4 linked regions of the Alligator mississippiensis genome follow. The protein of the gene in region 2 purifies or fractionates together with the protein of the main gene of each other region. This does not show direct contact. Links are inferred from orthologs where the notes say so. Each region holds a gene or a part of one and is shown on either strand. Other genes may lie near its edges. The genes, in order: ABCB10, SLC39A4, LETMD1 and AGPAT4.

Region 1 (7,272 bases), on a different chromosome or scaffold from region 2:
AATCTTTAGCCAAAATAAGGCACAGTAAGGCCTGTAAAAAGCTGCAAAGGGATGGTCCCCTGCCACACACATTAGAGATCCTCAAAGCGAAGGGGCCAGGGGGGCTTTTCTGCACAAAGCATCTAAAGCCTGACTACTCCAACACTTCCTAGAAGGATGTGATGCTAACTAGGACGCTATTTCTAACATCCCCATCACTGGAGAGGTTCAAGCACTGGAGTTGCTCTCTAAGGCTGCATCCAGACAAACACGGACATTTGTTTCCTTGGGGACAAGCAGCAGCAGCACACCCATCTTTCTTGTACTTCATGTTGTTGTCTACAGCTCAGTTCTCCAGCACCTGGTGATGCTGCTACTTGTCCCCAGGAATGCGTGAGCCACAGGTGCTCTGGTGCATGGCAGGTTACTCTGTGTGGGGTAGGGGAGGCTGAGGCCAGCAACTGTGCTGGCCCCAGCAGCCTCACCTGGAGTCTTGGGGACCTGGGGGAGCTCCAGCTGCAGCATTCCTGCAGTTGAGAGCCTGGCCGATAGTTGGAGTGTGGCTCTGGCCAGCCACACTCTGGTTATGGGTGGTGTGCGCTGCCGCCCCGGAGTAAAAAAAATCCCTACTCAGCAAGGTAGCAGTGCAGGGAATGCCTGCATATGCGGTGTGTGGAGCCACAGATGGGTTTGCGGCCCACACACTGCATGTCCATAGTTGTCTGGATGTGGCCAAAGAGGACACCCTGCCCTGCTTTCTTTGTGAGGTCAGGAAGCAGGCAGGGCAGGGCTGCACCTCAGAGCAGTGGTTCTCAACATTGTTCAGACTTAAGGCACACCTTGATAAAAATCAGGGTGCCCCTAGAAAACTGTTTTCACTTATTCTTTGACCACAGAAAGGTAGTAATACATCAATTCTTCTGGTGCAAACAACTCAGGAAGCCCACAGAGAGGCAGAACAGATTTAACACGACAGATTCCTTCTTTGAAATCTCTGGGTTTAATCTCATGAGCTACATTTGCTACCAGCATTAACATTGTGTGGCACCCGCAGCATGCTCGAAAGGACCTCAGGGCACCCTGCAACACCCCTGAAAGGACCTCAGGGCACCCAAAGACCTCAGGGTGCTGTGACCTGTGGCTGGGAGTCACTGAAATGACAGAAAATCATAAAACCATAAGAAGTCAGGCTGGCCAGGCCTTCAGAGGGCATCTAATCCAGTGGTTCTCAACCTTTTTTGTATCAGGACCCATTTGTAAACATCGACGGCCAGTCCCGACCTAGTAAATAATTTAAGTAGAAAACAGCCCCCAGCCCTGCTGGTACCCCTCACTCCTGACCCACTGCCCCCCCATCCCCAGGCCCCAGACCCCCCAGCCCCACACACTGGGGGAGATATGTATGGGGTATGGTGGGCCCCAAGCAGCCCCTTGCAGGCTGGAGCTCTGCCCGTGCTTTCCTACATTTTTCTCCTTTAAAGGAAAATCCATTTTTTAAATTTGTTTGCAACCCTTTCATATATTCTTCTGACCCATGAGTTAAAAAAAAACAAAACACTGATCTAGTCCAGCCCCTTGCCTGAGGCAGGACCACCCCTATCCAAACCATCATCTAAACTCTACATAAGTCAGCTGTCAACCCTGACACAACACAGACTGAACACCGCCACCTGCTACAGGTAGAGCAGGGAAACCACAGCAGCCAACATCCTGCTTCTGTGAAAGGTTGTTCGTCAATATACCCTCAGGGGTAGGTAACCCCTGGCATGGGTGCCAGAATGTGGCACACGAAGGCGTTTTGCTTGGCACACGTGCCTCAGGGTGGACGGTGGGGATGGGGCCAAGGCTGCACTGCCACAACAAGGGTTGAGCTCTTTGCAGCTCCCCTGCCATCCACCCCTGGCATGCCAGTATCTTACAAGTCAAGGTTGTGGGCGTTTTTGGCACCCTGCCCAAAAACGTTGCTGACACCTGACTCAGGAGATCCAGGGGCCTGTGGCCTCACTACAGAGGAAGGCAGAGCCCCCAGGGCAACAACATGCTCCAGGAGCATGTGTGTGGGGGTGCCTTAATTAGAGCAACTCAGGTAGTGCAGACACAAGTTACAGAAGTTATCTTTTGAAATGCCTTCTTCTGAACCCTCCTGCAAAGAGGGTTAACATTTTCACCCAGAAATTTTCAAAGCAGTCTATAGCTGGGTGTGTGCATTGGGTCACAGCTACAGACCGCTTTCTGCAGCCAGATCCAGCGAAAACTGTCACTTCTGTCTGTGCCCTGACAGCCTCTCTAATTAAAGTGCCTGGGCAGCATCTTGTGCATCAGCATCCCTGCCCCAAAAAAAGGCAGTGGAGGTGCTTTAACTCAAGCTGGAACGAGCTTTAGTTAAAGGGCCTCCGCTGCTGTTTTTTGTGGCAGGGTCACGGATACACGAGATGTGGGACCACGGTAATCGCCTTGCTCCGGCAGACTCGAGGCTGCTCTGAGGGGCTACAATTATGGCCCTGTATCATGTAGGCGCCCCCTCTGACCATGGCCTCAAATGCCTTCCCGACCCCACAGGCAGCAATGGGCCTGACCCCAAGCAGTGGGGCAAGACCCTCTATCCAGGAACCCCACTTTGGGCCCAGCAGGCATGGCGGCACCCCCAGTCAAAGCCTCCGAGGGGGGACTTAAAACGCCCCTGACAGATGCAGCACGAAAAGCGGGGGGAGGACAACCAGCAAAGGCCGGCAACACAGGCCTGGCTGGGCAGCCCCATCCCTCCGGCCGGCGCCTGGGGAGGGAAGCGGGCGCGGGCTCTGCCTCCCTCGGGCCCCTCCGGGCGCGCCCCGCCCCGCCCCGCGGTACCTGCGAGCCGGCCGCGCTCGGGCCGCGCCAGCGCCAGCAGCTCCCGCAGGCGCAGGTGGCGGTGCGCGCCGAGGGGCGGCTCGAGCCCTGCCGGGCCGCCGCGCTCCGCCGCCGAGGCCGAGGCCGAGGCCGAGGCCGCGCGGGAGGAGGAGCCGGCCGGCAGCAGCAGCGGGCGAGGCGCGCCACGGGCCCAGGCCGGCACCAGGGTCAGCCGCAGCCGCAACAGCCGAGCGGCGGGGCCTGCCATGGCCAGGCAGTGGCTGGAGCAGGGCGGGGCGGAAGGAGGCGGTGCTGCGGCTCATACGGCCCCGGGAGCCCGCCCCGCCCCTCTGTGAGCCGGCGCCTGAGGGGGAGGGGAGACACCTCCCGCCGCCGCACGCAACCGCATACGCCTGTGCCCCTCCCGCACACACTCACGTTCCGTCCCTTCAACTCCCCGTAACTGCATACGCGTGCCTCCGTCCCCCTCAGCTCCACACACACTCACTCTGTTCCCCTCATCGCTACACACACGCACACCTCTGCCCTCCTCAAATCTACACACACAAGCCTCTGCCCCCTCATCACCTCCACACACACATAGTGACACCACGCCATTCCTCATCTCCGCTAGCTCACCGGCCTGGTCTCTCCTCTGGGCTCCTTGTCGGATCTCAGGTTGTGGACACACAAACCATTCAGAGCCCTTTCAACAGGAACTCTTCAGCTATGTTCCAGTTGCTGTGTGGGAAGGAGCTGAGAACAATTCCCATGAAGGGGAAAAGCCTCTCATTTTAAAACTCCTTCATCCAGGTTTAAAGTTAGAGGCGTTCTGGTGCCATCCCAGTTCCTTTTCCCAGTCTGGTGTGATGAGAAGAGAGGATAGATTTGTACCTATAAACTAAACAAAGTGTGTGTGTGTACACACTTCTGTTAGTGTACATGTGTACCTCTCCACTATTCAACTGCTACATTGTGCTTATAATATATAGCACAAACTATATAATGCAGTAGAGAGAGAGAGACATATCCAGATCTATAGATAGATATGACATATATAACACAAACTTACTTGGTGCGAAGAGACAATGATTACTAGGATGATGATATTTTACCCCTAAAATATAGCCTTGGCTTTAAAATAACTTTTCAGTCAGTCACAAAAGGAACACCAAACAACTGGCTCATTAAATGCTCACCAAAACTATTTTTTTTCCTGGTTTTATCACCATATATCTCTTTGCTTAAGACAAGGGTTCACCAAACTGGTATGCATACCCCTAGGAAATTGTGTAATGGCAGATTTAATTGTCATTATGATAATAACTGGCATTTAACTGGGTTAAAATATAACGTGTACTGGTACAGGAACACAGGCAAAAGGTAAATGTGGAAGGGGGTACACAATAAGAAAAAAAATTGGGAACCTCTGGCTGAAGGCAAGACTTTGTATGCATGAACTAAGTACAAGCAGTATTTGACTATTTTATCATAGTTTCATAGATGTTAGGAGCTAGAAGGGACCTTACAAGATTATCTGGTCCAGTGCCCCTGCGCTTGGGCAAGAAAGACTGCCTGGGCAAGATCAGATGACACCAGCAAGGAGGGCATCAAGACACATTCTGAAGATTGTCAGGGTGGATGAATGTACCACCTCTATGGGGAGTATGCCTAAGACTCGCAAGCCAAATGGAAATGATTATTGGCATCTTTGGGCAGTGATGAATGGCCTTACATAACATGCACAGTAGTATTGCTGGAGGTTTATAGTGTATATTTTTGTCACTTTGCTAGATGTCATAAAAAGGAGCCATAATTTTTGTATGAGATGCTCTGTGATTTTTTATGAGATGCAGTGGCTATATCTGATACACAGCAACACAGTCCATCCTTTCTCATCTTTAGTAGAGTTCCCAGTGTCCCCTAGCTTTCCAGCGCTGCTAGTTTTTGCTGTTTCTTTCTTCTTTCTAAATCCTTGTCTCCTAGAATCATGTTAAAATGTGAGAATTTCAAGCTTCATCTAATAAAAAAACTCCACCCCCCAACATTAGAGAGAATAGATTGAAAGCATGAGTCCGAAAGGATTTTAAACCTAAACTTAATATTTTTTAAAATGTTATGATTTTAAACTCATGATTTTTTGAGCTTGACTCATGATTTCTTATGTAGGCTGGGCAATACTGAAGGATAAGCACTTATTGTTTTGTACCAAATCAAATGAAGCTACATTTTATAAGTGTCATAACTGTGGTGACAAATAAGATAATGCAGTATTATCCCATTAATGCAATGTTCAGCATCACAGAAATAATGTCCAACAGCAATAAATAGAATGAATAAAAATAGCCTGGAACTACCCAATGAAACTCATTGCCATACAATGTTGTGGAGGACAAAAGTGTAACTAGGGTCAATAAGGGATTAGACAAAATATATGGAGGATAGGTCTGCCAGGGGCTACTCAACACAACGGAGTGGAATGTAACATACTCATGGTGACTAGGTGGGTAAAACAGGGAGCCGATCACTCTGCACTGTTCCTTATACTCCCCTCTAAAGCATCCACTATTTGCACTGTCGGAGACAGGATACTAGGCTAAATGGATCTTTGGTCTGACCCAGTGTGGCAATTCTTGTGTTCCTATGTAGCATATAAAAAAGATGTTCAAGGGACTACATTTCCTAGCAAGTGCTAAGCTATGGTCAAAGTTCACAGAATATAGTAACAGGGTCCTGTTGCATCTTCCCTTATGAAGATTTCCAAATGCAAATTAAACCCCCAGTAAGCTTCTGAGTGTTAGTTGCCCGTATCGTTACATACACACACGCAAAAAAGAAAAAAAGCAGAAAACAAAAATACCTTCTTTCAACAGCACAAACTTCTAGTCTGTTTGAATGTTCAAACCACATAGGATACATGCAGGCTTGAGTATTTGAAATTCTGTGACTGCTAGTACAAGTTTCAGTCACTCTAAAGTCAAGGACACAACATGAACCAATAAAATCTGCTAACCAGAAAATTAGAAATCTCTATTCACACTCACTGGTCCTCATGCAGCCCAAATCCTACAATTGGTAGGTTACCTTTACTCTTTCATGAAACGCTATTCCTTATCTAGGGTACATAGGTTGTAGCCATGTTGGTCTAAGGACATAGGCAGACAAGGTTTTTTGGGTAAATCTGATATCTTTTATTAGACCAACTCAAATAGTTAGAAAAATTCTTCTTTGCAAGCTTTCTGGTATAAATACCCTTCATCAGGCTGAGGCCCCTGCCTTAAGCAAGGAAGCTTCCTCAGCCTGACAAAGGGTATTTATACCTGAAAGCTTATAAAGAAAAATTTTTCCAACTATTTGAGTTGGTCTAATAAAAGATATTAGATTTACCCCAAATAAACCTTGTCTGCCTATTCCTTATCTAGGAAGGTATCAGATAACTGAATTTTTCTTCTCTCCTAAAAAACCAATTGTTCTTCTAAAGGCCATAGATGGCCCATAAAAAGTCTCAAAGCAAACATACAAACAAGAAACACAGCTGGAAGAAACTTGGTGTGTAGGGTTGCAAAACCTCACAAGAATATTATACCAATAGAAAGTCCTGTAATTTAAGGTCTCAGCCATGTTGCAATGAAATGCTGTGTTGGAGAACTTGAGTACAACAGAATATACCCTTACGGTGATTAAAACCCGGAGGAAATTAATTTCTCAACAATGTGAATTCCTGTCTCTGCACCATCACCCTAGGAAAGCTTTTCCCAAACTTCACTAATCCTGTGTGATAAACAGGAGGTCAGTGTTACATGGAAAATCTGAGCCTCTGCACCAGCTACGCTCACTCCCCCTCGGGAGGGTCCCTGGGTTCCTGTGGCAATCCTCAGAATAAAGATGTTCAAGGGTTGGATTAATTATTTTTTGTACTTCTATCAGACCAGAAAAGAAAGTGATATTGTACCTCTCCACTCTTGGATGAGACTGCCCAGACTACCCATTTCCCTTCTGCATTTATACTGGACCTCGGGGAGCCTTCATAGTACTTGAAGGGAGGAGGATGTGGCCTGTGCTGCAGTGGCACTCCAATCCGTACCTATGTGAAGGGGATGAGATTCCACACATGGATCTTGGCGTAGCAGGAACAATTTGGGCATATACTTGGTCTTGAGGTGTAGATGTCTAGACAAGAACAAATAAATTCCTGATAAATTAGCTAACTTTCAATCTTGGAATTTTTACAAGGCTGATTCATGCTAGTATTACAGTCTGACAGGTAGTCACACCATGGCAGACTCGGTCAAGTACCGAGCAGATTTGGAATTAAAGTTATTTTCAAAGAACACCCAATTAAATAAAGATTAAAATGATAGAACCATAACTTTTTACAGAAAGTATGAAAACTCCTAGCAGATTTAACACTTCTTTTTCTGTCAGATTTTTTTTTTTTACAGACAAAAAAAAAAAATATTATGGCAA
Region 2 (8,103 bases):
GGCAGACGGAAGGAGGCCAAACCAGTCTGCCTGGCCCCTGCTGCCGAACAACACAGCCCTGTGCGCTGGGGTGCACGTGCACGCCCTGGGCCCCCAGACTGCACTTGCACCTGGCCTGCGTACACAAACACACACTGAGCATATATCCGCTGTGCACTTCCATTAGGTATACCTATACCATGGACACATGCACTGGGCACATAGTACATGCACACCAGGCATACATACATGGTGCACATGCACTTGGCATACCGTACACACACACTGGGCATACCTACCCCAGCATACCTACTGCATATAGTGCACACGCACCCGGCACACACACACAGTGCACACACACTGGGCATACCTACTCTGTCCATACCTACTGCATACAGTGCACACACACCCGGCACACATACACAGCGCGCACACACTGGGCATACCTACCCCGTGCATACCTACTGCATACAGTGCACACACACCTGGCACACATACACAGGGCACACACACTGGTCATACCTACCCCGTGCATACCTACTGCATACAGTGCACACACACCCAGCACACATACACAGCGCGCACACACTGGGCATACCTACCCCATGCATACCTACTGCATACAGTGCACACATACCCAGCATGCATACACAGCGTGCACACACTGGGCATCTAGTGAACATGCACTGGGCATTTAGTACACACACCCCAGCATATATACCCCATGCACACATACAAGGGACATGTGTCCTGTGCACACCCACTGCATGCAGCGCACATGCAACAGGCATACTGGCACTGGGGACACACACTGGGAATAGAGCGCCCATAATTCACATGCCCCAGGCTTACAGGCATGGTGCACGCACACTGCATACGGTGCACACGTACCGAGCATGCCTGCACCGCGCGTGCACACTGAGCGTACCGTGGCATGCACACACATGCACACCAGGCACCCCGGGCACACCGTGCATGCACCCGGGGCGTAGAGCGCTCACGCCCGCCGTGCGGGCACACGCACCACGGGCTCCCGGGCTCAGTCCGCGCTGGAGTTTGGCCGGGCCGGGCCGGGCGCAGCCGGGGCGGGGGCGGGCGGCGGCCCTTACCTTTCCACACGGCCCGGCGGGGCAGTGCGCACGGGCCGCCGCGATATTTAACAGCTCGTCCAAGTCCGCGCGGCGCACGGAGCCTTCTCCCGACGGCAGCGCGGCCCCGGCCCCGGCCCCGGCCCGCGGCACCACGGCCAGCGCCAGCAGCAGCAGCAGCGCGGCCCGCGCCGGGGGGACCATGGCACCACCTGGGGATGGCGTCGAGCGGCGGCTCTCGGCGCAGGAGTCGGAGCCGGGCAGGGGCGAGATGGAGCGGGACGCGGGCGGGGGTCCCGGGGCAGGAGCCGGGCAGGGGCGCCGGGCGGCAGCCGGAGCCGGGCACCGGCGAGATGGAGCGGGAGCACGCGGGAGCGGGCCGCGGGGGGAGCCGGGCGGGGGTCCCGGGGCGGGAGCCGGGCAGGGGCGCCGGGCGGCAGCCGGAGCGGGGCAGGGGCGCAGGGAGCCGGGGCGCGGGGAGCCGGAGCCGGGCACCGGCGAGATGGAGCGGCAGCGGGAGCACGCGGGAGCGGGCCGCGGGGGGAGCCGGGCGGGGGTCCCGGGGCGGGAGCCGGGCGAGGGCGCGGGGGGCCGGGCAGGAGCCGGAGCGGGGCAGGGGAAGCTGGAGCCGGGCTGGAGCTCCGGGGCTCGGGGCTGGCGCTGCGCGGAGCAGGGCGGGGGTTTCTCCGCGCCGCGGTGTGAGGCTGCCGGGCCCAGGTCCCTCCCGCGGGGGCAGGGCCTGAGCGCAGCACGTGGCCGGGAGCGGGCCCGGCCTGGGGCGGGGGGGCACCCGGGGGGGTCGGTGCTGGGAAGAGCGCGCCGGACGTGAGTCAGGGCAGCGGGCAGCGGCGGACGGCTCTGCCCGCGAGCCCACGTCCGCGCGGCCCCGGGCAGGAAGGGGCAGCTGCGGGGCGGGGGCCACGGCTTCGCGGCTCCTGTGTCCGCGCCCGGCTGGCACCCCAGGACGGTGTTTGCCCCTCGGCAGCCCCCGCCCGGGCAGAGTGCGGCCTCCCCGCTCCCACCCCTCGTCCCCCCAGCCCAGGAGCCCCGGCAGAAAGGTCACCACGGGGCTGGGTCACAGGGGCACGGGGCGCCAGCTGGCGCCGGGAAGAGCTGGCCGGCCCGCGGCTGATAAGGAGCCCGGCCGTGTTTGCTCAGCTCAGGCAAAGAGGGACAGACGAGTGCCCTGGCCCCTCCGCAGCGCCCGAGCCGAGCTCCTCTCTCCCAGGCAGGATCCGGCCCCGGCCCCGGCCCCGGCCCCGGCCCCGGCCCCGGCCCCGGCCCCGGCCCCGGCCCCGGCCGCCCCGTGGACCCGCAGCAGCCGGCGGAGCGCCGGGCCCGGGGCCTGGCCCAGAGCTGGAGCCCGGGAGGTGCCGTCGCGTGCAAGGACTCACAGGCAGGTTGCACATGCACACAGGTGTGCACACACACAGGCACACCCGCACACGTGCCCCCGCGCACACTCGTCTGCATGCATACACACAAACGTGCACATGCAAGCGCACACATGCTCGCATGCACACACGACACACGTGCGCACGTGCACACACGGCACATGTGCATGCACATGCACACATGCACACACCAGCTCTCCCCTTGCCCCAGCCCCCCAGTCCTGCTGGGCGCAGGGGTCAGGAGCTCCCAGGCAAAGGGGGCAGCTCAGCCCTCCCCCCCCCACTGCCCTGGGGCAACCCCCAAAGAGCCCCCTGCAGGAGAGCACCCCCTGGTGGTTGCCCCTAGCACCACCTGCCCTGTACCACCCCACCAGGCTGCAGCTCTCTCCCCCTGCAGCTGCCCCCCAGCCTGCCCTTGGCTCCGGCTGGAGCTGAAGCCTTTGATCCTCTAGGGAACCTATCCTGAGTCACCCCCGGAGCTCCAGGCACTTTCTCATAGCCCGGCCCAGCTGTCTCCCTCACATCCTGCTTTTGTCTGGGTAGGACATTGCCCCTCCCCCCCGAGTGTACAAGGCACGCATATGCTTTTGCACACACACATGTGCAAGCACTGTAGACCAGGGCATGGGTGTGTGTAGGTGAGTGTGCAGGGAAGCCCATGCCGCATCCAGCTGTGGCCGGGAGCATGGGGCGAGCGCATCTGGGAACGGGCACAGTCGAGGCGGGGTACAGACGCATTGTGGTTGCCATGTGCAGGCGTCCACATGCTTGCGGCGGGGCGCAGCGCTGGCATGTGCGTGCATCGGCATGTCCTGTGTGTGGGGCAGCGCCTTTGGTAGCTGGGGGGCGGGGGCGGGCAACCGTGGCTTGTAACCCTTCACATGCTGGTTCCCTTCCCCCCCTTAAGCCTTTGGTTCCTCGGGGACTGCAGGGTGCCCATGCGGGGTGGGGGCTGGAGGCTGTGCCTGAGCCCTGGGGCTGGGGCTGTGTCTGTCCAAGGATCCCTGACTCCCAGGATGTGCTCTAACCACTACACCCCACTCCCTCCCCAGACCTGGGGCTGGAACCCAGGAATCCCAGTGCACAGGGCCTTCCTGCCCCCCCCCCCGCCAGCGGAGCCCACTCCTATCCCTGAACCAGGGAGAACCCCCCCCCCCCCCCCCCCGTGCTGCCCTGCCTCTGCTCAGCTCTGCCCGGTGCCACCCCCCAGCTCCGAGGCCGAGGGGCCCCAGGCCTCCACACGGGCTATTTGAGCGGGGATGACACAGCTGGCGGAGCCTGCGTGCACACCCGCTCACACACGCACACAAACACGCACAGCTATCAGGAAAGCGGGGGAGCTCCGGTGCCTGGGGAGTGAATCAACTTGACGACACCGGGGCCCACTTCCAGGGGCAGCGCGGTCTAGCAGTCACTGCCAGAGGGACTCCCCCTCCCGGCTCCTCCCGGAACTTGGCACATGCCCAGGCTGGCTTCCTGTACACAGTGTGTGCCCCCCACAACCTCCAGTGTTAAAGGGGCAGCTCCTGTGTGTCCAGACCCAGTCTGCATTGATGTGTGTGCACACCCCTCCCACGTATGTCTGCGCACACACCCACGCATACACACATGCCACCCCCGGACATGCCGCCCTCACACACACACACACCCACCCACACATGCAGACACACCAACACACCCACACATATGCATGTACACCCCCCCAACACACATCCTATGACCCCAGCTGATTTCCTGCCCCTGGGGCAGGGGGCTGGACCCGGTGATCTTCCGAGGGCCCTTCCAGCGCGAATGTCTACGAAATCTATAAAATCTACAAAACATGCATGTGCACACACACACGCACGCACATTCTTACACATGCATGCACATCCCTGTCCCCTTACACATGTATACATACACACACACATGCATGAACCCCCCGACATGTACTTGCACCCCCCAACACACACACATGCACACGCGCACACACACACACTCAGTGTTGTTGCTAGGCACAAGCTTTGAGTCTGAACCTGCCCCTGCAGCATCTCTGGGCTGGACCTTCATTAAGCCCCCGGACTCCTGGGCTCTCTTCCCCGCTTGGCCAGAGCGTCCCCCTGGCTGGCCTGGGGAAAGCCTTGGGCTCCTGTGGCAGGGCCTGAGAGGCATGAGTCCCCACCAGGCACCCAGCAGGCAGGGCAGGGGCCGGGCAAAGCCAGGCCAGACCTGGCGCTGTGCCGGGGAACGTCAATGCCGCGCCCGGGGCAGGGGGCCGCGTCCTTGGAGCCTGCAATGCCTTGCGCTCCCAAACAGCACCATAAACGGGCCCGATTGACACCTGCGTGACACTGCCCTCTGTGCCACGCTGTCCTCAGGTGCTCTCAGCCCCAGCTGAACCTCAGCCCTGGCATCGGCGGTCCCTGTGCCATGCCAGGCGCCCTGCCAGCCCGGCTGCCCTTCGCTCGGGCCCGTTCATCAGCAGGGGACTTTCCTCCGGGCTGATAGGGAGGCTCGTAAACCCGCTGGCGCTGCCATGGCTTTGGCACTGAGGGCATGGACCCCACTCCAGAGCCTGCTGCTGAGACGTTTAGCCCCTTAAATCAGGAGTTGGGGTCAGGGCCATGCAGGTCTCCTGGAGGGGACTGGGCTGGGGGAGCCCCGTGCCCTCACTGCAGAGCCCAGCAGGGTCTGGGCACTGCCCGTCCAAGGCTATGTGACCCGGGGTCGGTGCAATGGTCTAGCACGTGGCACCAGGTGCAAGGGGGGCTGGAGCAGCTGAGCCCGGCCTGGAGCTGGGGGCACCGGGGGAGTTGAGCTGGGAGATGTCATTGCCCCGGTTGGGGGTGGCAGCGGTATCCTGCCTGGGCTGTGCCCCCCCGGGGGGCTGGGTCCAGACCCCACAGCCCACCCAGCCCCAATTTGCAACCAAGTCCTGGTGGTGCTGGTGGCCGGGGCTGGGCCCGAGGGGTCCCTGCCTGCTCAGGGTCTTGCACCCCTGCCCTGGCAGGGACAGCCCTAGACACCCCCATTGCCAGACAGCTGGGAAGGAAAGCATGGCAGTCAGGCCCAGTGGCCTAATGGATAAGGCATCAGCCTCCGGAGCTGGGGATTGTGGGTTCAAGTCCCACCTGGGTCGACCAGCTGCTGTCTTTTTTTCCCTTTTATTTCCATGCATTACATGGGAGGCTGGCAGCCGGGGGCACGGGCCGGGTTTGCCCAGCACCGGGCCCGGGGCAGCCAGCTCCCCGCAGCATATCCAGGGGGGCCTCGCGCCTCTCGAGCCCCTGCCCTGAGCATCCCTTAGACCCGTGGGGCCGTGCCCAGCAGAGCAGCAGCGGCGATGACCCTGAAGCCTAATGATGACCCAGTGGGCTCCTTCCCTCCAGACTGAGCCTGCCTGCTCCAGCGGGGCCCAGGCCAGCTTGGGACAGGCACTCCCAGGCCTGGCCCCATCGCTGGCAATGATTAAAGAAGTGCTGAGTCCTCCTGGGGCAGCTTTATGGCCTGCTATAAACCCCTGTTGAGATAAGCCAGGGCAGGGCGAGGTTGGGGCAGGACTGGAGCGCGCCGGTTCCCTGCCCCAGGGTGGCTGGACGTCCCCGCTGGCTGCTGGCAGCTCTGCCGGGCCCAGCCCATGTGGGCGGCTCGCCCCTTGCTCGGGACATTGTGACCCAGTTGGCATCGCCCTGTGGGTCACAAACCTGCCAGTCACCAGCCGAAGCTGACCCTGGTGTCACGGCCTGCAATGTGGCTCCGTGGCCGAGCCAGCAGCAATCCAGGGAGCGGGTGTGGGAGCCCCCCGGGTGCAACCCCTGGTCTGTTGGGGGGTGAAGGCAGGGCTGGGGGGAGTCTTCCTGCTTGGGGGGGTTGTGGGGCTCCTGGGCTCAGCCCCTGGGGATGCTGGTGCTGGGGCAGGACCGGCAGCACCAGCTGGTGCTCCATGCACGATGCGTGGGGCACAGCCGTGGTGAGGGACGCTGCCTGCTCCAGGGGACAGGTCCAGAGCTGGGACAGGGACAGCCGTGCCGGCTCCGCGGAGGTGCCTGTTGTCCATGGGCAGTCAGGCGGTGCACATGCTGCAGCCAGCCCGGAGCTGGGCAGGATGTGGCTGGGGCCGAGGGAGTCCTCGACCTGGGGGGACTCGTCCCTGGTCTCCCCCCGAGTTGGTGGAGCCAGACCAGGCCAGGGGAAGGGGCTGGAGGGAATGACCCTCTGCCCCTCCTGCCTTGTTGCCCCTGAGCTAAGCCAGGTGGGGAAACTGAGGCAGGGGAAGGGGTGCATGCCAAGCCGGGCAGCGAGGCAGCAGCAGCAGAAGTGCCCCCCCACCGCATGCTGGAGCAAAGCAGACAGACAAGCCAGGGGGTAGACATGGGACAGGGAAGTAAGGGGGGAGGCAGAAGAGCTGCCCTCAGCTCCTCCCTTCCCTGGTACATGCCCCCTGTGCAGACACCAAGCAGCCCCGGGGCAGGGACAGACTGCGGGTGGGGGCTGGGGACTGCCAGAGGCCTGGGCCGGTGCACGGTGCTGTACGATGAGCTCAGCACCAGCTTCGCCCCTTGCTCTCCACTTGTGGGTGCCGCCCCCCCAACCCCTTATGCAAGAGGGGAGCGGAGCGCTGGCATGTCCCCAGGTATGTCCCCGTCCCGGCCCCGCTATCCAGGGGTCACTCGGTTCACACGGAGCCAAAAGCTGTGCCGGGCTGGTTTCCGCTGCTGCAGCAGGGTGCAACACAGGCACTCGTGTGCTGCATACATGCGTGTGCCTGTGAGCATGAGACCAGCGTGTGCGTGTCCTAGTTCCCCCTCTGCTCCTCAGCAGGAAGGAGGCTGTCTTTCTTCTCCAGGGCTGTGCAATGCAGGGGCGGTGTGGGGTGACGACAACAGACCCTCTGTGCCAGCCTTTTCCAGGCTTTACAGGCAGTGCCTGGCACCTGCCCAGCCCAGGTGCTTCCTGCTGGCACCCATCCTGGGACAGGGCTGGGGGGAGCTGCTCCAGGCCTCTTTTCCTGATGGAAAATCCCCCCTCCTGTCTAGCCACAGGCGCCGGCACAGGGCAGCGAGTGGCAGAGCTGCCGCGCTCCGCGTGGTGATGAAGGGGGGACCCATGGGTGGAAGTTGCAGGAAAGGTGGTTTATCTTGGGGAGCAGGAGACTTCTTCGCTGTGGGGGGAAGCGGGGGACCCTCCGTCACTGATGAGGTTGAAGTCGGTTGCTTATTCCCAGTTCCTTATTCCTGGTTCCCTATTCCTTATTCCCAGTTCTTTATTCCTTATTCCCAGTTCTTTATTCCCAGTTCTTTATTCCTTATTCCCGGTTCCTTCTTCAAAGCTAATCTAGACCCAATAAAAACGTGTTATTAATGAATTACACGCCCTAAAGAGGGAGAATTTCATTAGCTATGCATATGTATTGATTACTATGTAAAATAATATCCCACATCAAGTACAGAGCCCTAAATGAAGGTCAGATGAGGATGGGATTATGGGGCAAAATACTTCTTGGGGCACCCCAATTTTCCTGTTGATGCCACTGGGGGACTGTCCCAAAGACCGCTGACTCCAGTCCTGCCTGGCCAAAGCACGGTTTGGCCGTGCCAGGCTGCCAATTGACAGCACGCCAGCCACTGCGCTAAATACATGGACCTGAATAAGGAACTGGATTT
Region 3 (7,976 bases), on a different chromosome or scaffold from region 2:
GCCCAGCAGAGTCTCCACATACAGCTGGGACAAGAGCAAGGAGGTGGGAGAACTGGGTAACGAACAGCACTTGCAGAGTGGAGGGAGGACAGCTGGAAAGGGAGTCAGGAAGTCTGGACCCTTGCAAGGAGTCCAAGAGAACTCGTTCTTGATGGCAAATCTACTTAGACGTGACGGCGAGCATCACAAATGCCAACATGGTCTGCAGTGTTCATCAGGTTACAATGAAAGACATAGGCATGGGGCAGGGATTTTAAGAATCCTCAGGCAAAAATAAACCTGTCTGATTTGTTAATACATATTTATTTTTGCTGCAAGGGGACACTGAAAACACGTAACCCTGCATAGTTGTATGTAGTGAGCAGAGACCATCCCGAGAGATGCAAGGGGTCTCCTGTGGAGGAGAACCTAGGGATGGAAACTTAATATGCACAGGAGGAGGGAAAAAATCAATTTGATAGAAAATTTCAGATCCCAGCTAATGTCTGGTGCCCAGACAATGACAGATAGACAGGAAACAGGCTGCCCTTCCTTTCTGTGTTTGCTCAATTTAGACAAGCAACTGAACAACTCAAGTGGGGTGAAAAATTATCTGACTGGGAAACTATAGTTTGACTGAATACAAGTGTTGCTTTAATGGCTGCAAAAATAGTCTCTGGAGGAACAAAGACAGCTGTTCTGTAGCAACCCCCCCTCATTGGGCTGCCAAGAATAGCACAAGCGTCATCTGAGAAACAGAAAAAGAAACGCCAAGAGAGGGCACGAGTCAGCTCCAGTTCCTAATGACTACAATCCTCATTTGAGCCTCTATTCAGGACAAGGCCCTGGCCCTAGCATGGTTGGGGGGAAGGTTGGGAAGGATGTACTTACATCAGCACCAAGACGAAGTAGTTGGCAAAAGGTGGAAGGGAGAGCAGTGATACTGGAATGGCCTTGATCAGATCCCTGCGAAACTGCACAAGAAGTAAAACAACGATTAGCAGCCGGCAAGCAAGTGAAACCCAAGTGGCAGTTGGGGATGGGGCAGGGAAGAGATGGCCTCCAACCCACCACCTTCTCTCTAACCCTGCTCTCAGTGAGAAATGCTCAGTAACAGGCCCAGGAGTGTTATACACCAGATCCAGCTACCAGGCTGCCTTGGGTTAAACAGTCAGCTGACCCACTCATAAACCAAAATGCCGTCTGGGGGCGGTGGGCAGCAGAGATCCTAGAACAGGGAACTCCCTTGACTGAAGCACGTGTGATGAGGATGAGTTTGCCCATCGGGCTTGGAGAATTCAGTCAAAACAACTGACTCTTGGAGAAATTCAGCACAACTTACAGATACTGAAGAACCTCAGAAGCTGGGCCCACCTGTCTCAGTCTCTCCATGTCTCTGTAGGGAAGCTGCTGAAAACTGATCCCCTGATGGGCCATGTTAATCTTTATTTTTCTGATTTCTTTTGCCTCCAAAAACAATGCCTTAAATCCTGTGCAGAATATAAAGAGAACCTTCAAGCCTTGTGCTGAGCACAGCCCCATCCAGCTCAAGCAAAAAAAAAAAAGCCCCTTTGCAAACTTTTACCTCCCCTTTAGTTTGCCTGCTGACAGCAGTGTGTGACAGTATAATGGGATGCATCATGCATGGTTTCATACATGCCACAATTGACAGTTGTGTGAGAGGCGAGATGGAGAAGTGGAATCAGCATCTAACCCAGTCCATCAAAAGCAGCAGCCAGAATGTGAGAGGGAGTTGGTGAGGAAGCCAAAAGCTTTAGGTTGCAGATGTACTCTGAATCATCAAAATGTCGTACAGAGAGGAAGGCAAGAGGTTTTTCATCTCCTTTCCTCCCCCTCCCCTCTTCAGAGGTAAGGACTACTTCTCCCGGTGACTTTGCAAACTCTGACTTCAGCCAAGACAAGAACTGCCAGAGCAGATCGGCGCAACAGTCAGTGAAACCTGAGCGCCTGGTTTGTAACGGGCTGGCAATGTTTCAGAATAACCGTGTTAAAAGACTGAAGAAACTCTCCTTTGTAGGACACACTGCAGCAGTGGTCTCAGCCTTTTCTTTTTTTTTTTTAACAAGTGGGCCAAACCTTCAAACCAGAAACGAGCCAAGGGCCACGTGGACAAGCATAGCTCTACCCTGCGTTAATACATTAAGTAATATCAGAAAGGGAAATGTCATACTTTGAGGCTCATCAATACAAAGTAAGAAGTTCAGTATTCTGTAGCGTTATTTAATTTTTTTTTCAACTAATTAACTAGTGCCTTGCGCAGCGGCAGGGATTGAGGCTGATGATTGGCCTGTAACGAGCCGACTGGTTTCCAGGTTCTTAGCGCTGATGGGGGATTGCTGGGGCTCAGGCCCGTGGGAGGGGAGGACACTGCCCAGCGGACAGTGCCATCCCTTACCTCAGCTCCCCATGCTTTCCCGCTACCCGACCAGCGTCTCCTGAAGGAAGAGCTGCGTGCTTTGAGGAGCGGGGGAAGCGGCACCATGCTCTGCTGCACAGCACGGGGGTTTGCTCAGAAATAACTTACTGCTGTTGTCTAGTGCTCATCAGCACGTCCGCGCAACGCCAGAGCCCGGCACCTGAGCGCGGGGGTCGAAGGCGCGTTCGTTCACGCGCCTCGGATACCGGGGCAAGTAGGCTGCACCCGTGTTGGTGTAAGGGGCACCTACCTCGGTGGGACGTGGCGTAGAGCAGGTAGAAGCGGGGGAAGCGCCTCTCCAGGAACCGCTCGTACCGGCCGCTGGCGCGCTTCACGGAGCTGAGCAGGGCGCTGAGGAGCGGCCGCGGGTCGGGCTTGGAGGACAGCGGCCTGCGGCAGAAGGGGACTTGCAGACAACCCGCCCCGCCCCCGCCCCCACCCCGGGGTGACGGGCCGGGCCGTTGCGGGGGGATGGAAACGGCCATAACGGCCGCTGAGGGAAGCGGAGGGGGGAGCTGGGGGCTCGGCTCACCTCACCGCCCCGCGGCCGGGCAGCCAGGCGGGCCCCGCCCGCGGTAACAAGCGCAAAGCGCCCCAGCAACCGCTCAGCCTGGGCAGCGCCATCTTGGGCCGCCGCGAGGCCAAAGGGCAAAGGGCAGCGCCGGACTCGAGGATTGGTTGGAAATGGCGGCGCCTTCCCCACGCCTCACCCCACTTCCTGGCACGTGACCATAGGCGGAAGTGGCGCGGAGCGGAGAGAGGGACGGTTTTCCCCGCCCCTTCCTGGCACGTGACCGCAGGCGGAAGTAGGGCGAGGCGGGCACGTGGGCTCGGCACGCGAGCGCTCTGACCGGTTATCATCCCTCAGGACCTTTACACGCCGCGGCCTTTGGCTTCGGGGCGCAGCGGCCGTCACGTCCGCGCGGGCTTCGGGCCTGGCGACCTGCGGAGCTGCACGAGCTCCTCCGGGGGGAGGAGTTGCCTCCTTCTGCCCTCCTGCCCCGCGCGTCGCTTCTGGGACAGGCCCCGCTGTGTGTCAGGCCGGCTGCCCCCAGGCGCCCTCCCTTAACCCCGGGGCTTCAGTCAAGTAGAGCCCAGTTGTTAGGGGACTCCCCACTCCCGTCCCTGGAAGGGTCCATATTGTACGTGAAGAAAATAGGTTCTTTGGGTAGATGTGATACTTAAACCAGCTATGTAGTTGGGGGAAAAAGGTCTTTGCAAGCTTTTGGGCACAAACGCCCTTCTTCAGGCATTGGAGACTTGCTGTTATAAAGAAGAAAATACAACATTTCGGTCCTCCCACAACTAAAATATGCGCTGCAGGTGGAGGACAGAAGAGACTGAAACATGCGCCGTTCCCTGAGCTCCGCGCGGGCAGAGGAGTGGCGAGGTGCCATGGGCCTCTGTGATCCCAACAGGCTGCCGGGGAAGGCAGTGAACAGGTCAGGTAAACCAGGTTCCCTGGTTCAGAGGGGAAAAATCCTACTTGGCCTGAATTCTGGTGAGCAGGTTCACCCTAAATATGAGCAAAACTCATCCAGTGCTACCAGGGCAGATTCTCTACCTCAGAGTTTCCCAAACCTTTTCTATTATGTACCCCCTTTCCAGATTAACCAGCTGCCTGCATGCCCCTACCAGCATACGGTTTATATTTTAACCCCTTAAGTGCCAATTATAATGAAAATTAAATTGCTATTAAACAATTTCTCCTGTGTACCCCCTCACGCAGAGATGCTTTGTATACCCACAGGGGTACACGTACCTCAGAGCAGGGGTTCCCAAACTATCTCTTCTGAGCAGGGTCCTGCCCAGTTTTGTATCTGGTCTCCAATTCCAGTGTCTTATTTCAGAGCAAGGTGAAGTGGGGGTGAGGGGTGGAAACTGAGAAGCCCGATCTGGAAACATACAACATTGGCTTGTTCTACTTGGCTTCTTCCTTTGTTACAGGGGCTAAATTTCTATCCCAGCTTTTACCCTGTAGTAGTCTATCACGCTGAGTAGCAACTTGCCTATCACTGAGTGAAAGAAGGGAGAAAGAGCCTGTCCAATATGGTGGCTTTCTACCCAGTGTCTTTAGACAGCCAAAGAGCTGCTGCACAGCAGTGTGAGCCCAAGTAATCCTGGATAGCTGCGGTCCTGGACCCACAGCTTCTAGGCTATACGTTGCCCACAGGACCCTCCAACATTGCTCGTGACCACAGGATATTAAAAAGCTTAGACTGATGTTGGCAAGGAGAGACAAGGCTGCTGTTATCCACAGGGAGTTGCTTGTCCAGCATGAGTGGTTGTAGGCCAGCTGAGACTGGGGACCATTCCTCCGTGGTATCCATGAAAAGGCTGAGATGGTAGCGTGGTTGCACTCTAATCATCCCTTGCCCTGTTCCCCTGTACCTCTCAAGGGTAGCACATTCAGCTCTTTGCTTATCAGAAGAAACGCACAGAAGCTTGTCGGTTGTATCAGTAGCCTCCAGGTCATCAATTGTTCACATCCCACTTCATGAGGTTTCCTGGTTGGCACTGACCAGCGATACTTGGTGCTGTATTTCTCCAGCTGATGGAACAGATGACTGACATCTTATCAGTGCTGCACGTACCTCAAAAATGTGCAGCCATGCCAGTTTTGGCTGTAATCTGTTTGAAAAATGGTCCCTTTGAAGCAAAGTCCAGCGTGTCACATGCATTAATTGCCTGGGTGGTACTTGAGGTTTTACCAAATGACTTTTTAATTTAGTATCCTTGACTACTAGCATTTGTTTGGAGGTGAATATAACTCACTGTACCCAAGATCAGATAGTTACCTGTATCGGGAGAATGCCCTTGATCAAAGTTTCTCATCTCCAATTAATTCCCTGCTAATAACCACCTTGTCAGGTCATCAATTACTGTAGCACAGAGATAGACTCAATTATGCTTGGGAGAATATTCTTGTTAACTTCTCAAGCCTCTTTCAAGTAGCTCTGCCCTATGCCAGCCAGTCCAAGGCAAGTGTGAAGTACCCTTATCTTATTGGGTGGAGGCACTTGTTATATAGAGAGGGGAGAGCAGGCTGTGCTGTTCTCTCCTGGGAATTGCAAGCTAAGAGTCTGCCCGGTTCACAAAATGACTAACAAACAGTCCATAAACCAGAGCCCTCCGGCCTGCGAAATGGGTAAGTAATGCAACACGAGGAAGAGCTAGAGGGTCCATTTCCTTCGGTTGTAGGAGGCCTTGCCAAACTATGGAATCATCTGAGTGTGGAGCACTTTGTTGTTCAACTAAGAATAAATCTCTTGGGGGGTCGTCGTCCCCCAGCTCCATTCTACTCGCTATTCAGGGATCGGCTCTAGGGAAGTGCCTTTGCTTAGATGTCTAATGAAGCTACTGGCTGTTCTTCCAAATTATCCTTTCTAAACCTTTTTGGAGGTTTTGAAATAAATCTGCATGTTTCATAACATAAACCTGGGGGGATCAGGAAGAAACTCCCTGGGTGAAAGCTAGTACTTAGCTACTTGGATTTTCTTTACCTTTCCTCTGAAGCATCAGTGTTGGCTACTGTTGGAGATAGGACACTATCTGTCTAGATAAACCTTGGCCTTGATCCAGCCTTGTCAATCCTGTTCCTAGCTCTTCTAACAGGGTGATATTGTCATACTCCTGCTGAGAGGGGAGAGGTGGGGTGTTTGTGCAATTTTAATCCCCAAACTGAAATGTATAACTATTGCTTTTACCAGAAGCAAAGAGCCCCACAGATTTGCTGCCCTCTTACCTTTGCTGGATTCAGTAATTTTGCTCCCCTGATAATATCTTGGGTTATTATTTGTGCTCTCATGCATTTAAGCAGAAGGGAATAAGCATTGCAACACTTGTCTGATTGGGAAAAAGGTAGAGCTTCAAAAAGGAATGTGAATTTTGTTCTATCCAAATTTCAGCAAAGATTTAAAAGCCATTGATTGGTCCTGTTGCCTTTTCTGTATGCCTGTCCTGTTCCAGAGAGACAAGCAAGTATCTGTTAGAGATACTTATGGGATCACATCTCGGTATTTCTTATGTCAGCTGCCAAGATTCTGCCTCCTTTTATTTTCTCAGTCTCTCTGCCTAGTCTTCTCCATGTCGGGGATCAGATTGTGTGTAATGGCAGGTCTTTCTTGGTACGTTATGATAACATCACCAGGGAGAGATGCCATTCCCAGTCCTGCTCCGTCTCCAAATTACTTCACACATGGAACAATTCTGCTTGATAGGTTTCAGAAAATTAATTTCAGAAAATGGCTTAATTTTCTTTTTTTTTAAATCGCACTGACTACAGAGATAACAACAGAGCTCTGAGGGAAACAGTATTTCTCTCCCACAGAACATTTCGCATTAAAAAAAAATCCACCAGAATGTTTCTATTGCTCAAAATATCAGCTTTAAAATATATATCTCTTCTAAATCCAAACCAAAGTTAGATACATGTTTATGCAAAGACAACAAATTCTGTTTGGGAAGAATTACAGTGGATTTTTACTTCTTATTATGAAATAACCAAAATGGATAGTAATGATAGTAGTGGTATGGGAGTGATGTTGCCATGATGGTGCAGAAAATATGCAAGGGAAGGATTTTGATGGTTTTGATATCTGTTATTCGACCAACTGCACTTTGGGATAGACTGGTATGCCCTCACCTGACCTAAAGAAGAATGCCCTGCATGCAAAAGCTTGTCTAAGTCTGCCCCAACCATGTAGTTGGTTCAGTAAAAGCCCTGATATGAAGTGAACTTCAGCCCATGCAAGTTGTGCAGTTTTCCTTTCAAGGGTGGTGCTGGGTGCAACACAATTTTAGCAGTTTGGTGTGAAAACACGATTCACGAGATAAGCTCAGAGTTTTCATATAGGGATCTATAAAACATTGTGACCTGTCGTGGTCTTCCTGAGTTCTTGGCAACAGAGGAATTGCTCTACTGCTTTTTCTGTAGTCAAAAACAAGTGAAATCTCAGAGCTGGAGGGTTGTTGGTTGCAGCCGTGTAGGTCTAAGGCAGGGGAGGGCCAAATGCAGCCCGCCAGGCCATTCTACCCAGCCCGCGGGGCCCCTAAAAAATTTAAGAAAATTAATATTTAATTGCCCCTGGCTTCCTGTCATGCGGCCCTCGATGGCTTGCCAAAACTCAGCAAGCGGCCCTCCCCCCAAAATAATTGCCCGTCCCTGGTCTAAGGACATAGGCAGGCTAGGTTCTTTGGGTAGATGTGATATCTTTTATTAAACCAACTAAAATAGTTGGGGGAAAAAGGTCTTTGCAAGCATTTTAGGCACAAATGTCCTTTTTCAGGCAATCTCCCTATGCCTGAAAAAGGGTGTTTGTGTCTGAAAGCTTGGAACGACCATTTTTTCCCAACTATTTGGTTGTCCTAATAACGTAACCGACACCTCGGGCAGGAGCAAGGGGGGGGTTACGAGAGATTAACTCAACGGGGACGGCTTATCGACTCCCCGCAGGCAGGAGCTAGGGGCGCGACGGTCTCCCGCGCCCGGCTCCGGGCGGGCCACGTGCGGGGGGCGGGGCCCAGCCCGGCCGTGACCTCTGACGTCATCGAGCCGCGC
Region 4 (7,809 bases), on a different chromosome or scaffold from region 2:
TACCTAGCCTGCTGGTTTCTGCAGGTGTGCTTTTGCTTCCTCAGTCAGTCCTCTGGCAACTGTCTTTAGGCAACAAAGACAACAGAAAAACACTTCTGCCCGGTCCCATGCACTTGCAGAGGAGCTCTTTGGCTCTGCCTTCCAACATAGATTGCCTGCTACAAGGGGAGCAGGCAGTTATAGTCACACCTTACTTCCTCCTCTCATGCTTACCTTTCTGGGAACTTCCTGAAGTTCCTAACAAAATGGTTCTCAACCTTTTTAGACTCAAAGCACCCTTTCATCACTTTTGTTAACTGAGTGGCACCCCATTTCCAAAACAAGTGTATGTATAGCAATGCCTACCCCTTTGCAGAACGACCAGGCAGTAGGGGCAAGAGAAATGCCAGGCAAAGACAAGCCTGAGTTTATCTTCTGAGCTTCTCTCTTACCCTTCAAAGGATCCCAAAGACCACCAGTTGAGAACCACCATCACAGCCACCCCCTTGACTATCCAAAAGCCCAGCAGCTCTCTCAACTGGGCTGTTTCCTCTTAAAGGAACAGACCTGCCTATTACAAACCGTTTTAATTACTCGGTACATTGGCAGAGAGCTAGTTGGTACATCCACCAGCCAATTGGAACATTTTCTCTCTGTGCAAGTCCTTGCACACTTTGCAATATGATCTTCCTCAAGACAACAGTCAAATTTCAACTTGTCCTCATCTGTTCAGTACTGCCAAGATTACATCCGTAAATACAAAGAAACACATGCCTCCCTACACAGGGCGTTGAACCTAGAGCCTCATTGTTCCCTGGTTTCAAATGGCTAAAAGTGTGATTAAGCAGTAAGAGGACACAACACGCATCTCTGTTTAGAGAAAGATACAGTACAAGTTTCAGATCTTAAATCAAACCATTTCTAAAGAGAGGAATCAGAGACATCTGAAGCCAAATTCACTTTAGCCCCTTCCTATGGGGTCAGAAGAAGAGAGTTAAACCTTTTTTCTCTAAGAGCAAGTTACTACAGAGTGACAAAGGGAACAAATATACAACTCGTGAGCTCCTTTCCATTAACTCTTGCATGGACACTGTGTTCACAGATTGCTTTTACACTAGGGGTCTTTATTTGCAAAAGCAGAACTCACTCACACTTAGCACACACAGAGAACAACTCTATGGGGCAGAGCTGCTGTTGTGTTGTCAGTTCACAGTGCAGAACTTAACTCGCTTAGGCAAGCGAGCCACTTTTTTTTTTTTTTTTTTTTGCAACAGCAGTCATTAACAATCCAGATTAAGATTATACTGTTAGCACAAGTGCCACTGTGGTTGCATCACAGTTCTCAGAAGTATATGGGTTATTGTTCCCCTTTTCACACACACCCCTTTTGTAACCGATTAGTAGTTTGGAGTAGCAATGCTGAATCTAGATCAGCAGTTTCCAAACTACCTGAAGTCACCAAGCCCTTGCATACCACTTCTGCTGCAAAACCCCTACCCTGGCTCTGTAGGCCAGGTTGGCCAACAACCTGACCCAGCAATAGCAGCGCACCACCTCCCAGCTCCTTACCCCCATGACCCATCACAGAACCCAATGGCACAGTTCAAAAACCACTGCTCTAGATTAAGGTTACAGCCTCCTGGAACAAGTGCCTGCATTAATTTCACTGTTGTTCTTAGAGTTGCATCTCTGGGTTTACAGATGTGCAGCTCTTGCAAATGGAAGACAATTACACACAGACAATGCCAAGCAGAAAACACTGATCAGAACAGCTGCAGTACGGTTAACAAGGATTTGTACTCAAGTTAACATTCACTTGTTGAAGCAAATCCTCTAGTGGAGCATCTTACAAGTGCCAAGCAATGCTCTGGAGTCTGGAGATTTAGGCTGATGTGACAGTGTTCAGGCAGAGCGGTCTTCACTTTACTTTAGATAGGCTCAGATATCTTCATTTAAAAAAAAAAAAAAAAAAAGAAAGAAATCTTTATAACAAATCAAGAACATGCTAAATGCAGAGTGTCCTTCACTCCTTGCAAACACCACTCCTATTCTTTGTATGATTCTTCTAGGTGCAATGGGAAATTAATAGACTCTATTTATATACCTACATACCTTTCATTCAAAACATCTCATTATTTAGGCTCCACACAGGCTTCTTGATAGGAAGCACATTGCTGAAAGCAGCTGTAAATAGATGATCACAAATGTCTGTTTCCACAGCAACCCCAGTCTCCCTACTCCCCCCCCCCCCACCCTTTATTGTGATAGGGGAAAACCAAAATGAAAGTAGAAGGGGAGAGTACAAATGCAGGCTGGATCCCAGCAAATATCAATCCGTGCAGAATATGCACAAGTGCAACATCATGTGAGAAATATGGATAATATTTAGGGCAAGGCCTGGGGAATTTTTGTAGTTTCTATGGAAACAGTGGGGAGGAAGGAGGAAGAGAGAGAGAAAGAGAGCGAGCATGTGCATGACACAAAGGGAATCAACAGATAAGCAGGAAGATTCTCGTTGGCTTCAGCTTTTTTTCCCCCCCAAACAAAGGGATGAAATGCACGAGGAGAACAGAGATGAAGGCACTGCACAAATGGGAAGGACAAGAGCAAGCAAGGGAGGGGGGAGCAATCAAAGTTCTTCCCTAGGAGGCTACCAACCTGCAACTTGCCTCCGAGCACAGGCTGCTCCAGCACACGCACCCCTCCTCTCCTCTCCTCGCAGTCTGCCCCTGCCTGTCCTTTGCCTCATTACGCTCACTGTTTCAATGCTTATATACACACACATATATATATATATATATATATATATATATATATATATATATATATATATATATACACACATATACACACACATATATATATAGGCAATCAAGTGAAGTCAAGACCAGCCCCCTTGCAAATGCAAAGTTCTCTGGAAAGTAACAGGAATCATCACATACCTTGTGCCTGCCAGACCTTGACATATGTGCTTAGGAACCAGACAGAGAAAGGCTCTGAGACTCAGAAATTGCTACTAGTTTGCAATGAGCTGTAAGTCAGCCAAGACTGGAAAGAAAGCCAGACTCCACCCTTGGGGTGGGCCTTGAAATCAAAAAAAAAAAAAAAAAGAGCGGTTCTCAGCTGACGTCTCTCCCTACCCCATGTCACTTCCTTTTAAAGCTACAATTCAGCAGTCCAGGGGAGAGGGCTACTAATGCAACATCTGCATGACTCACCCGCCCCCCCCCCCATCAATTAGCAGGAGGAAGTAAGTCTTTCGCTTTTGTTTCCCGTTGGAAAGCACTGCTACAAAAACCTCCTGCCACAATGCAGGCAAAGCTTTATTGTAGATCACCCCCTCCCACACACACACACACACTTAATCCCAGCGCTTCCATTTAGGCAGGCTTCATCTTTCTTCCCCAGGCTGATGGTGGTGTTAGTGTCATGACTTGAGCACGTTTGCTAAATTAGATCATTACTAATTGAAGAGGATTACACTCCATTTGCATTATGCCATCCAAGATGGGCATCTTTGATCCTCTCTCCCCCCTGGAAGTTATTAAGAAGCACAGGAGAAGCAGCAGCTTGATCAAGGAAAGCAAATGCACAAACAGGACCAGAACTTTTGAAACAAAAATCCAGGATTTAGTTACAGGCAGAGCGCGATGTAACAGCACGTTGTCATTACACTGAGAATGCTGAACATGAATGAGAACAATGGCATTTCAGCAAGCAGTGCTGGCTGCATCCCCATATGCTGATTCAAGGCTGCGTGTAAAACCCCGGACACAAGAATGGGACAGATGGGGGCAATCCAGGAAGAGTGCCACCGAGTCCTTCAGACGGGATGTTCAACAGCTGCCATGGATGCTCAGCACCATCCCTTAGGGGAACTAATGTGGTATCCAGGGTGAATCTGAAACAAGTGGAATAGGTGGTAAGGTGATGAATACAACTCTCTCAAAAGGGTGGGGTGCAAGGTGTCTCCTACAGGCATTTCAGAGAGAAAACCCTCCACCACCTAGATTTAAGATATACTTACTCAATGATCTGGACAAAGCAAATATATATAAATATATATATCTATATATATATATATATATAAACACCCTTTTCAGATGGCTGGCTTCCAAGTGCTGAGTATCCTGACACACGATATTCACCATCTGTGAAACCCAAACATTTACTGTCAGTCTTTGATGGCAAAGTGAAAAAGCTTCTTTCATGAATGAACAGAATGGAAAATGGCAAGAACAATGCTTCTTAGATGCACAAAGAACTGGAAAATGAAGCAAAGCCTGATATAAGAGTTCTCGGTACTGGTATTTAGAGGTGTGAAGCACAGGAGAAACACCACCACCTGGCAAGTAGAGCACCGGGCTGAAACAAGACATATTGGTTGTAGTCTCATGTCTGTCACTGATCCACTGGGTAACCAGACTTGGGCAAGTCACTTCCTCTGTGCATCAGTTTTTCCCACTTGTAAAACAGAAATAATGACACTCAGGAGCTTTGATATCTATAGACAAAAGATACCATGGAAGCAGTGGGTATTCTTACGGGCATTAATTGCATGACTGCATTTTTTTAACTGCATGACTGCATTTTTCCCCTCCTTTTTACAGCTCTGTTTAGTGCCTAAAGTAGACAGGTTCATAATAAATGAGGGTGCTGTCTGCGGGTTCCTTGCCTCATTTGCATCAGATACTAGAACCTGTGTGGTTGAAGTGGTAAAGGACCTAGGAAAACTAGTGGTAAAGGACCTAGGAAAACTAGATTTTTTTCTTGGTTCCTTCAATATATGAGTTTTGGTAAGTTACTTAATGACATTAAAAAAGGGACTGGGGCCCTAAAGTAGGATTTAAGCAAATGTTATGCTTACATCCAAAATTGCAATCTCAAAAAGTCCCTTCTCGACTGCTTCCTCATCCTGCGGGTATCCAGGTTGTAGCCATATTGGTCTAGTGGCACCTGATTCCTCATCCTACAGGCATCTAAAGTCATGAGACAGGTTCTGACATTAAACATCCTCTAGAAACCTTCATTTCTTTGTGCCTAGAAATGCCTCAGTCTGAACAGTGCTAAACTGCTTGGCTCTTCCTCCAGCCATGCTTTAAAACAAGAGTGGCCCTTATTGCATTTAAAAAAAAATAACAAGGGATATTATTATATATATTTTTTTAAAGGAACTACCCTTAAGAGGTGGTTCTGAACTGTGAATCCCAAGTGGAGCAACACATCTTCACTCCAGCTGCAGAACAATGGAGAGGTGCAGCTGAAGGGGATCAGTGCTGTGCACTCATTAGCACCTATGAAAGCACCTACGAAAAATCAGATCTCAGATGTCTCAGAATAGATATCCACTCATTGAGGAACCCCAAATCAATGGAAGTTATCAGTTTTGGCTGAAGTCTCTCTGCCACAGTTTCCCATCTGTAAAATGGAAATAGTAGCCATGAAGAAAGTAATACTTCTGTATTCAAAGCAGGGTTTGCACAATGTACAGGAAATATGGCCTGGAGCCAAATAAACACTGATAACAGAAAAGAAATATGAACAGCTGCCTTGTCTCCCCGAGACCCACCCAACTTGAGCAATGAATGAGTCAAACTTTCTGAACAAACTGAGCATGTAATTAATATCTAGAGTAGATAGGGAACTAAATCCAGGCTACACAGGGCATTTTTGATGTTTCTGAGTTTTTGTGTGTTGCGCTAGGTAGCCTTAATCATGAGTTTTTTACTTAGTTTTGCACACACATATAGAACTCTATTATTTGTATCAAGTAATAATCAATGATTCTAATCAAGATCATGACCTTGTCATGTTAAACATGCAAGAAGACCAGATCCTAGCTCATCACTTGACAACTATTGGGTGATGTGCATGAAATAAGTTACTGATCTTAACTCAATCTGTCCATAACAACTGTTTGAGCCATGCCAGGCAGAGCACGTTAGTTACGTGAGACCAAATGGAATAAAAGTGCATCTCTCCTACTTTTACCAGCTGGAGTGGATTAGCACATATCTATATAACTGCACAAAGGATTAGATTTAATAAATTTAACCACAACTTAAGGGTTGGCTGTACTATCAACGTCTGCTGCTTTACCTACATGGCTACATTTAAAGCAATAAAATTCTTAGTGTTGATATAAATATAAATTGACAAAAATGCTTATATTGGCATAGTTTATTCTGAGATAAGGTATCTGTATACTGGTATAACTGCATCCAGCCTAGGGCTTGTATCAATGCAACTAGTACAGGTGGAGGAAGAAAAAATTATTTGGGAGTGGGGCTGAGTGTGCCCCCATGCCTCTCAGGGTGCACATAGCAGCAGGAGCTGTGCCCCCTGGACAAGCCACTCATGGCTCAGTCCCATGCTGCACCCCAGCTGTGCAGCGCCTGCCTAGCTCCAGCCCCACTCCCACTCCCTTCCTCACCACTGCGCGTGTGCCCCTCCCCATCCCTGCTGCAGCTGCAAGAAGCCTGCGGCTGGGCTGCCTTGTGGCCCTACCACTGCCCTGAGTCTCAGGGTCTAAGCCCCATTAGCCCCCCCCCCCTTTCTGCTGCCTATGACAACTAGGGTGAATTTTTTTTTTTTTAATCACATCCTAGTCAAGTTAATCATCCACAAGCAAGCCATATGAGGAAAAACTGACAGATATGGGACTGTTCAGCCTAGAAAAGGCTTTAGGGGGATTTGGTGGCAGCTTACAAATATATCAGGGGTGAACATCAGGGGCTGGATGAACAACTATTCACCAGAGTGACCCAGGGGAAAACCAGCAGCAATGGTTATAAACTTCTAGAAGAAGGTGTCAGACTGGATATAAAGAAAAACTTCACAGTTCATGGAGATCTTCAAAAGGAGACTGGATGCACACTTTGCTCAGGTTATTTGACCCCAGCAGTCTTTCCTGCCCAGAGCAGGGGGCTGGACCTGATGATATTACGAGTTCCCTTTCAGCTCTAAACGCTTGTGAATCTCTGACTTCTCTAGTGTATACCATTTTAAGTGTAACCTGTACCAATTCATCTATTTTAGTCATTTAGTGATTCCACTATCTTTATACAGGAAAGCTTGCATATATGCAGAGCACATACGAACAAAAATAACCTGTTGAAGTCATACCCCAGGGGCACAGTTATTTCTGTAATAGATTTATTCTTGCATTGAGGATTCATATCAGTAAAGCTGTGTTGAATGCAGACATGACTTTAAGATGGTGTATGCCTGACTCAGTCCTTTACAAGGTTTAGTAAACATGCATTTGATATTTGGTGACTGGAGGAGTTGAGAAGGAATTCACTTAATGAGTTTCTTCCTTTGAACTTGGATTCATTTTAGGGATAAATCCACAAGGACTAATTTATAACTGGCACATTGAGCTTTTAAAAGAACACCATTTCTTACATTAATAAGATACTGAGGGTGGTACTTTCAAAGGGTGTCCTAAGCTGCTTTTTGTCAGATCAGGCCCAATATTTGGATGTACACTTATCTGCATGAAAAGGCTGTATATGCATATGAATTCTCTACTTTCTTTAAGTATCCAGTTTGCACATGCCCATGAAGAAAATTATTGTTTGTTTACTTGTTTATCTACTTGTGCTGTATCTGATTGTCGCAGGGCACCTCGGTGCCCCTGCTCCTGGAAAGGAGAAACTGCCAGGGAGCGAGTGAGCGTGCCCTGGCCTGACATAACGAGCCCAGCTGAGGCTTGCTCAGGTAATGAGCGCAGCTGCAGGTTGCCGGAGCAACCAAGGGGAGCCAGCTGCCTGTAGGAGGCAGGGCCTGGCCCTTATAAAGCCCAGGGCTGAGGCCAGGCTAGGAGTT

What was found.
Region 1: the proteins of SLC39A4 (region 2) and ABCB10 purify together in Homo sapiens (affinity purification with mass spectrometry; 3 studies listed by BioGRID and IntAct, counting the BioPlex papers as one, with this or other methods). This does not show direct contact. The link is inferred for Alligator mississippiensis from reciprocal best matches to the Homo sapiens genes SLC39A4 and ABCB10.
Region 3: the proteins of SLC39A4 (region 2) and LETMD1 purify together in Homo sapiens (affinity purification with mass spectrometry; 3 studies listed by BioGRID and IntAct, counting the BioPlex papers as one, with this or other methods). This does not show direct contact. The link is inferred for Alligator mississippiensis from reciprocal best matches to the Homo sapiens genes SLC39A4 and LETMD1.
Region 4: the proteins of SLC39A4 (region 2) and AGPAT4 purify together in Homo sapiens (affinity purification with mass spectrometry; 3 studies listed by BioGRID and IntAct, with this or other methods). This does not show direct contact. The link is inferred for Alligator mississippiensis from reciprocal best matches to the Homo sapiens genes SLC39A4 and AGPAT4.

The regions. Positions count from the first base shown.
Region 1 is NC_081824.1:149,023,906-149,031,177, reverse strand, and holds the start of ABCB10 (ATP-binding cassette sub-family B member 10, mitochondrial), read right to left. Parts: upstream 3,092-7,272; 5' UTR 3,074-3,091; coding exon 2,827-3,073; intron 1-2,826.
Region 2 is NC_081826.1:1,540,426-1,548,528, forward strand, and holds the start of SLC39A4 (zinc transporter ZIP4), read right to left. Parts: upstream 3,010-8,103; coding exon 2,984-3,009; intron 2,092-2,983; coding exon 1,089-2,091; intron 1-1,088. UniProt on the Homo sapiens protein: Selective transporter that mediates the uptake of Zn(2+). Plays an essential role for dietary zinc uptake from small intestine. The Zn(2+) uniporter activity is regulated by zinc availability.
Region 3 is NC_081838.1:10,319,545-10,327,520, forward strand, and holds the start of LETMD1 (LETM1 domain-containing protein 1), read right to left. Parts: upstream 3,094-7,976; 5' UTR 3,041-3,093; coding exon 2,949-3,040; intron 2,807-2,948; coding exon 2,667-2,806; intron 1,470-2,666; coding exon 1,354-1,469; intron 954-1,353; coding exon 871-953; intron 1-870. UniProt on the Homo sapiens protein: Plays an essential role for mitochondrial structure and function, as well as thermogenesis of brown adipocytes.
Region 4 is NC_081824.1:138,634,018-138,641,826, forward strand, and holds the start of AGPAT4 (1-acyl-sn-glycerol-3-phosphate acyltransferase delta), read right to left. Parts: upstream 3,074-7,809; 5' UTR 2,922-3,073; intron 2,117-2,921; exon of another isoform or gene 2,092-2,116; intron 1-2,091. UniProt on the Homo sapiens protein: Converts 1-acyl-sn-glycerol-3-phosphate (lysophosphatidic acid or LPA) into 1,2-diacyl-sn-glycerol-3-phosphate (phosphatidic acid or PA) by incorporating an acyl moiety at the sn-2 position of the glycerol backbone.